Linked DNA regions of Bombyx mori. The protein of the gene in region 1 purifies or fractionates together with the protein of each later gene. This does not show direct contact. Links are inferred from orthologs where the notes say so. Each region holds a gene or a part of one and is shown on either strand. Other genes may lie near its edges.

Region 1 (4,437 bases):
TATGATAATAGTCTAGCCAATTAAAAATTAAGTAGATTCAATTATGTGACCCAGGTCTCGGGCTATTACTACTCCCCTATAATCTATCAGTAATAGTAGCATTCTCATTTTGCCTATCTCTCGTAGCAATAACAGATAATACAGAAAGTACAACCATTTCTCAACTTGCAAGCCAAACCATGTACTTGCCTCTATTGGCCAAAAAGATTAAACTCTATGTAGATAATAAGACATCCCAGTTGATCTCATTATTATAGACTTCTTGTTCGAGCCACAATTCATAATTCTCTTTGAACTCTTCATCTAACTCTATGTTACTCTCCAGGACACTGTTTATGTCTGTGTCCAAGGGAGTCAGATCAATTTCTTGTTCTGTACCTGTACCATATCTCCTGTGGTTGAATCTGTCTACACTGATTCTTAATGCACATTCCTCACTTTGAAAGTCCCAAGGTCTTGCATCTACATCATTTCCAAATGCCCAATCATCATTTAATCGATGACGAACTTTTGAATATATTGCGCTTATTGTTTTCATGTTTGTTTTTCGCCACTGTCTTCCTAAATATTTAGTTTGCATTTTTAGTAATTTCAGTACATAAAACTGCATCAAGGCATGTCTTACTTTTAATGTTCTTTTCAAAATTGGTGCGCTTTTGAATACAACTAGCATCATGATCCTAGCATTCTTCCATTTTGTTAATTTATTCAAAATTCTCAATAAGTTTATGCATGAGAATACATTTCTCCACGAATATGGAACAGAGGAATCTCCAATGTCTAAATATTCCTTAGTTAATTCTGGTTGTTCACCAATAACACAAGCAGGGAAATCAAATATTGGGATGGAATTCTTGGCTCCTACATAAGACAGTATGTTTTGATTGAAGAACTTGAGAACCAGCGGCATACAGTTTGCATAAACTAAATGTTGTGACATAAATTCAAATTGGTAGACATGATTTAGTTTAAAATGCTTCAAGAGGAGTAATAGGATTGCTGTGACAGCTTTCACAATAATTTCTTTGTGTCTGTTTACATCTATGCCTAGTTTTAAGGATTGGAGAACTGTCATGGGCATTTCTTCAGGTAACAAATCAGCCATAATATTAATAGAATATGTTTTTGCAGTTGAAGTGGGAGCTGCAGCCAAGAGTATCTTTAGCAAAGCAATCATGTATTGAGGCAAATTAGGTAGCATAGCTCTATATAGAATTTCTGCTTCAGTTTCTTCTACATATTTTTCTCCCCTAGTAAGAGGACTCCATGCAATCTCAATTTCTCTCTCAACTTGGATTTCTGATAGACTTGTGTACATGTGTTTCTTTAATATCTCAATACCCTCATGGATGGGCTGTGGCAGTCCAGCTATTGTTTGTCTATCACCTGGTAAAGAATAGCCTACAAACTTAATGCGGACATTATCTAGAAACATATCAATATCTTTTTGACGAACCTTTGACTGCCATGGCAGACTACGGGGTAGTGGCGGTGGGGGTGGTGGACTATCCAACTGTTTAAAGTATACATAATATGGACAATTTTGGCTATTTTCACCTTGCTGATTGTCACTTGACATTGACTGAAACTCCATAGGATAATCTTCAGATCCATTTCCAGTGTCTTCTTTGTCAACAAATATTTGTTCATCAGTTTCATCTAGAGAAGTCTGTTTAGTAAATGTTTGTCTCCTCAGGGCTCTTTCATTTTCCTTTACTTTTCTTTGACTAGGATTTTGATTTTCTAACACATCTGCAGCATTTGGAGGTGGTGAACTGGCTCTCATTCCCTTTATTACTTCCAACGTATCTTCACTGATGGGAGGGAGCCCATGCTGCTCCCTCAACTTTGCTTTTCTTTCTTTTAGTTCCTTTGAGCCACCCAAGTAAACTAATAACACTTTCCACAAAAGTAAGAGAACTTTCTTCATTGGAAAGTGTGGTGTAGTCCCAGCACACAAATGCGTAACCATACTTAATAGTTTCACAGGTAACAACTCATCACCAAATGGTGTGCCTAATTCTTCAGTAAAATTTTTCACGAGATGTGCATACTCAGAATCTGGGCTGTTTTTCTCTGTTCTCATGTATTCAGTTATAAGATATAGAACTGTCAGTATCACTCGCAAGTTTGTAGAGTCAGCTAACGATTCTGCCAATTTTCTTGAAGCTATAGCTGAGCTACTATGAACAATCTCGAGGTTGAGCAATTCCACAAATATTGAAAATGTTCCCATTTCATATAATGTCATAATGTTCACTCGAGCCCAATGTCCTTGTTCGGCATCCGATTGCATTTCTGCCCAGCACCCTTGGGCCAGATAGAGAATGCAACGAATAGCACGCATACGAATTTCGGAGATAGCTACATCGAGATGTTCCAATAGCATCATTACTACAGTTTGTTGTTGTTTTTTTGTTAGTCTTTGCCAACTCGGTGGATGATTAAATTCTTCCATTATATCCTCAAAAGCCTTAACGTTTAGCTGATATTCGGGATGTTCCGTGTAACTATATATTTCAGCAATTTCGTTGGCTTGAGTATCACAGTCATCGTAGACGAAGTCAAGCTCGGGGCTCTCCATGTCGTTAACGCAATCTCCTTCTTCCAGGGGACGGCGAACATCCGGTAATTTAGTACCTCCGCGACGACCATTGCCGTTGGTACCCATTTTGTATACAATGTCATCCAACTTATAAAGTCAACATTTCAGCGATGTTAATTTATATTTCCAAAAATGTATACATTAATATTAAATCCGAAATTGAAGCAATTCGAAACAATACCATATTAATTACAGATTACAGAACATAGAATAGAAGTAGAGCACTAGATAATTGACAGTTTTTTATTGACATATTTTTTCCATCAAATATGAAAAGAGAATATAGCCCATACAGCCAAAAATTTCGTAACAAAGGCCTATGCCAAGATTTTGTTACATAATATAAAAAGTAAAATGGAGCAAATTTTATTATTAAGTTATATAATTTAACGTCAGAAAAGATTAAACCGTAGGTGTTGAATGATATGAACTAAAAAAAAAATTAGTAATAATTTATAGCGAGCTCAATTCACTTTTTCTTATAAAACGCCGCGTCTTATAAATCTTATTTTATTTACTAATCCAGCATTTTAATACACGTCTATCAGATACTTTGGTTCGCAATGTTTATATTGAAAATATCAACTTCTAACAAGGAATCCATAGAATCTTTCAATAAAATTAGGAAATATGCATTAAAAACAAAAAAAAAGCATGCCTGTATAAAGAGGAAGCTGAAAAGAAAAATGACTTTTTTTATATCCTCGAGATTCTGGTTAGAACATAAAAACAAAGTAAAAAAAATTGTTTTATCATTGAAATTTGAAACCACTTGAGATTACAACGTGCAATTTTTTTACACTGAGAGATTGTAAAGCCTTTTGGACGAATCTATTTATCCAGGACATTTATTTATTATTACAATCTATCTAATCAATAAAAATACCGACAGCTATTATTTTAGGTATCCTAAAAATAAAATTCCAACAAATGTTTTGAAACGAAAATCTATTTTTTCACTCTTTAAAAAACTGCTATTCTGGGTTGAGAGCAATATGGTTTGTTCTCACGTCAAACGTCGTTTGTATGACACTGGAACATTTGTCATACAACAATAGATCCTTTTACCGCCCTCGCAAAGCCCACTAATAAGCAGAGGGGGTCGTTTGCTCCAGCCACTTTTCTTTATAATTGAATTAGCAAAATTACTTTGATAATTATTTCAATTTTAAGATTGGCATTTGCGTACCTAAGGTTCTATTCCAAGGTTGAGAGCTTGTAGGAAACTAGGAGCGCTACAGAAAGGGCTAGTTGTGCTGGTTTCTAAAAATAACCATTTTCGATTCAGTAACTAGGTACAAAAAACGACAAAGTGACCTTCCTCCAAACGGGGTTATTCCTTGGTAGATCGACATCACGGTATTGAATGCTTTTTCTCCGGATTTGTTTAGGCAAGCTTATGTTTTAAACATCTTTAGCGTGGTTAGGCTCCTTTAAACTTTTCAATTACAAACATTTTAAATTATATTATCGAAAGAGGATCTCAGTTTTTTATTGCATTGGCTAGCTGCGTCAGGCCCCTGCCTACCTTGAGACATGAGGTCGAAATCATAATTGTATTGTGTAACGTATCTCTCGCGCTTCAATTTATAAAATATTTAATTACAAAAGTAAGATAACAGATACCCTTAGATAACTGGCCTAATTAAATTAAAAATGATATCAGTCCAAAGTGACAAAAAATGCTTAGTAAGCGGACTTTAATACTTGTGAAATTTTCAAGTTAGATTGAATGATCAGATGCAAGTCAAGCTAATAAAAGCGTGTTCAAAAATGACTGTTTTGCAATAAAAATAGGCAGAAGTGTCGGTCTCGGATCAATTACATTCAAC
Region 2 (4,291 bases), on another chromosome or scaffold:
GCGAGCTTATGGCTCCCTTGATGTGGGTGGATAAGAGTGATGCGCTTGATGACGTTAGATTTCCCGTTTGGCTCTACGCCCTGAATTGAATTGCCAAATCGTTGCATTTTCGCGACAACCAAACTTGATGTGTTCTCTGTCAGCGCAATTCGAGGATATCGCATCGTCTTCTTCGAAGTATCATTTATATTGGTCAGGACATGGCTCTGAGACCCAAAATAAGGTGCTCGGTGCAGACTTCGAATAGTGAGGCGAGCCACGCCTGGAACCCTGCAATAAGGACACTGGGGCTGCAAACCCAGGGTACTACGCATCGTGGTCTGGTGTTTCTGGAACTGATTCACGCGTACTTCGCTTGGTAAATTGTGACTGAGAACATTTCACACTCAGTTTAACGCTGGGGCTTAGCACCCATCTCTCTCTCGGCAATAATCCGTAACTTTCAACCCACCAGTCAATTTTCTTGATTCCATTCTCCTTTGCCACAGCTTTAATAGGTTTGAAGGTTATTGCATGGCTATCAAATACCTGCACTAGTACCCACTTTCCTATTCTCTTTTTCCATATTGCAAATAAATTTTAACTGCACACTTGCAGACTTGCCTGCTTAGTGAGCACTTTGCAAGAATTGACTGTGGTGTCAGCTTAAAATAGCTTTGCCCATATCTTCTCATGGATGTCGTTAAAGGCGATTGAGGATTCACCTGAGATAGGGCACCAGCATTCTCATAGTATTATAAGAGTTCACTGGAATCGCTAATCGGCAACTACCGGTGGTAGAACAGGTCACTATACCTATTTTTGCAGTGAAGTGGTCATGCATTCCAGTTTGAAGGGTGAGATATTTGTCATACAATAAATGGCAGCTTTGATTCATGACTTAAAGTGGTACAAATTACATTGATGTTTATGGGCTATAGTAACCAATTTATACCGAGTATAGTATAGACTCATTTACTCTTGTAAACAATAAAATATGAATTAAAATAGAATAGAAACAAAAGCTTGTGGAATACCTTTTATAAACTTACTAATCAATCTGTAATCTTAGAGGGAAAATATCATAACAGCTAAAATATACTATTTTATGAATTTAAGTTTTCAATTGTAACTCAGTTCTTCCTCAAAAAGAAAAATACCTCAATTCTAGTTGGGTAAAACTTGGAAAGTGAGAGACAAATACTTATCAATACTTTTTAAAAACTTCTAGATAGGCCATAGACCATTTCTACAACATAGCTATCTCACAGAATCCGAGAGGGATGGAGGACTTACTAGCTTTTTATGACCGCGCAACAAAATCACCATTGGTCCTTACTGCTTCTAAACTATTGATTACTGTTGGATTAAAATGGACCTGTTTAATGCAACAGTACCAAAAAGTATCCCTGCAAGCTTCCAAGATTACGGAGGTTTCTAAGATTGATATTTTGAAGATTTGAGGCTTCTGGGTTTGACTCAGTTTTAGTCACTTGAGTGATAAAACATAGTTTTATCTAATAATAGCCTTGCTTAAGAACTTGTTCAAATGAATTTATTAAAAACATGTTACTGGTTACAATTATGTAGTTTACTTTTAAAGTATTTAATTGTTTAGCATCTTTATTGTATGACAAACCACTGCCTATTTAACATTACCATTAATTCCCATCATCATTTATAAAAACAACAAAATTGATGATTACTTTTTACTGCACATGCAATATCATTCACTTTAAAACAACCTGCTCAAACTGAACCAGCAAAAATAAGCAAAACGGTGTAGGGGAATAAACTAAAATTTCCCTAACCTCATAACGGTAAGAACTAATCATATTGGCGCAATGTACTACCCCTCAAAAGTAATATTATACAAAGATGTTGGGTAAAAACTTTTTGAATTAACCGTAATATATATACCATTTAAACAATGTAGCATAGAATATTTTCCTTTCAAATATGTGAATGTTAATTTTTAGGTAAAACAAATATAAATTTTCTAGCTTTCAAAAAAAATTTTTTACTGTTTAACTAACATTGACAATATTCTCACTATACATGCGATTCAATTTATTATGAAAGAGATAATTTGAATACGTTTCTTTGTTGGTTTTAGACTTATAAATTATAATTTCTCAATTTATTTTTTATTACAGGATGTTAACTAACATTGTAATAAAGCAGTCAAATAGGTGTTGCTTTTTAACTGATAAATGTTTTATTTCTTAACACTTCTAAGCATATACTTAGTAGTACTATATTTAGTAGTTAAAAATATTGTAATTCTCTAAGTAGCATATACATAAAAATGTTAAATACTAATTTTAGTAGGATAAAGTACTTCAATTGTCTACTTCCAAAGCACATTATTGAATATGGTATAATATTCATAGCAAACCACTGTAATCGACAAAGATGTTATCAAATAAAAAATATAAATAATAATACCTCAAATTCTGCTTTGTCCACCTCCCATTGTGATCTCTCCAGTTCGAATCTCGCCCATTCGTGTTGGATAAAATGCAAAATGCCCGGTATTGAATACTGAACACTTTGACTGGGTTCTTCATTTTGTTTATTATTTACACTGACTCCAATTTGAGATCCCACTTGCCCTCCGTTGTGATGAGATACGGAGTTATCATCCATGGCTGTAGGGATTTTCATGACATGGCCACCATTACCGAACTAAACTTGTCACACACCTATTATAACTATGACCAAGAACTATTTAAAATGAAATACTAACACATTATTAAATACTATTTTTCAAACAACGTCCACAGATGTGCCACCATCTAAAATAATTTTTATCGACGATTTCATGAATGACAAAAATTATTGCATGACGGAAAGAAAAGTCTCATCGACGTCCGTTCGCTACATTGCTTTTAAAATGTTGCCCTATTCAAACGGTTAGATTTTCTAACATAAAAAACCTACAGGGATTAAGTACTAAACTCAACTGAATTAATGTTATCGATGTAAATTATAGATTTTATAGATCTTACATGGTTAAAATGACGAGATTAACTGCTGTCAAGTAGTCATCAGATCCTTAATCTGAAAGAACATCTCTATGCTGTCTACGTTGATTTAAAGTGGTACGTTTAAACTAAGTCGCGTAATATTATTGCTGTTGCTTTGTAGCATAAATGATAGCAGTACCGACTCGGACGGGTGCAATTATATACCATTTCCAGTCACAAAAAAATACAACTACGGCTTAAGATATTGGCGATTTAGTTTGACACCATCCAAAAGTAGAATGGGTTTCTGGGGTCGCCAGATCTTCTCAGTTGATCGCGATTGCTATCTGGTCCATCAAGTCAAAAAGTCCTACTAAGTTGAGCACCGTGAGCTCATTCATGACGTATGCCCACAAATTGTGGTTATTGGGGACGAAATTAGTGTTAATAGAGAAATTTGCTAGGGCTGGCACTCCTTGGTTTTAATTAATTTATTTATTTAGTTTAGTTAAAGTGATCATCAATAAAAAAACATTGAAAAAATGACAAAAGTCAGACAGTCTCAAAAAGTCGGCCACAACTGCGAAAGTATAAGAACGGGTAATATAGATTGTATTATTTCTTTTTATCCTAAACTTTTTTGCTGTTTTTTTTTCTTTTCATATCATGAACGTTACAAAATGGGTATATTGTCAATGCAACTTAATTTTAATGAACTCTGCTGTGTATTTATTTAATTTGTAATTGTAGGACTATCGTTGAAACATATATTTTAATAATGATATACCAACTATACGAGTTAAGTACTTTCATGAAAAAACTGTGTTTATTTAAAATCACTAAGTATTTGTGACAGTTTAATTTATTAATTTGGATTTTACTCAATAATTATAAATTTGAAATTGCCAACGTCGAAAATGCAATTTAACTTACTTTCCATACCGTAAAATGGGGTCATCACGGATTGAGAGGCGAATGGGGAAAAAACCAGGAAAATCTTTCGACGCTCAATATTAGTTTTTTAATCGTTGCAAAATCTTCTATTTTTTGTAGTGTAATAGTAGAACGTTAAAAGTTCACAAAACAACTCTGAATATGCATGATAATAGCTGCTAACTTATAAAAATTGCATTTCAAATTAACTTCTTGTGGTGGTTTTATTTTAGTGTTAGAAACTTTGATTTCTTTTATTTTGCTGATTATAATAGAAGACGACTGTGATTTATAAAAGTTGTTTAGTGTTTGAACCATCATATATATTAAAGGTAAGTCTCAGTTGTTATTGGTTTTAATGTTTTTGATAAAATAAAAATACATGTAAAAATCTGTTGTTTTTGGGGATA

What was found.
Region 2: the proteins of striatin-interacting protein 1 (region 1) and striatin-3 purify together in Drosophila melanogaster (affinity purification with western blotting; 4 studies listed by BioGRID, with this or other methods). This does not show direct contact. The link is inferred for Bombyx mori from reciprocal best matches to the Drosophila melanogaster genes Strip and Cka.

Annotation. Positions count from the first base shown.
Region 1 is NC_085115.1:8,792,714-8,797,150, forward strand, and holds the start of striatin-interacting protein 1, read right to left. Parts: upstream 2,865-4,437; 5' UTR 2,672-2,864; coding exon 215-2,671; 3' UTR 1-214.
Region 2 is NC_085118.1:7,132,394-7,136,684, reverse strand, and holds the start of striatin-3, read right to left. Parts: upstream 3,040-4,291; 5' UTR 2,647-3,039; coding exon 2,428-2,646; intron 1-2,427.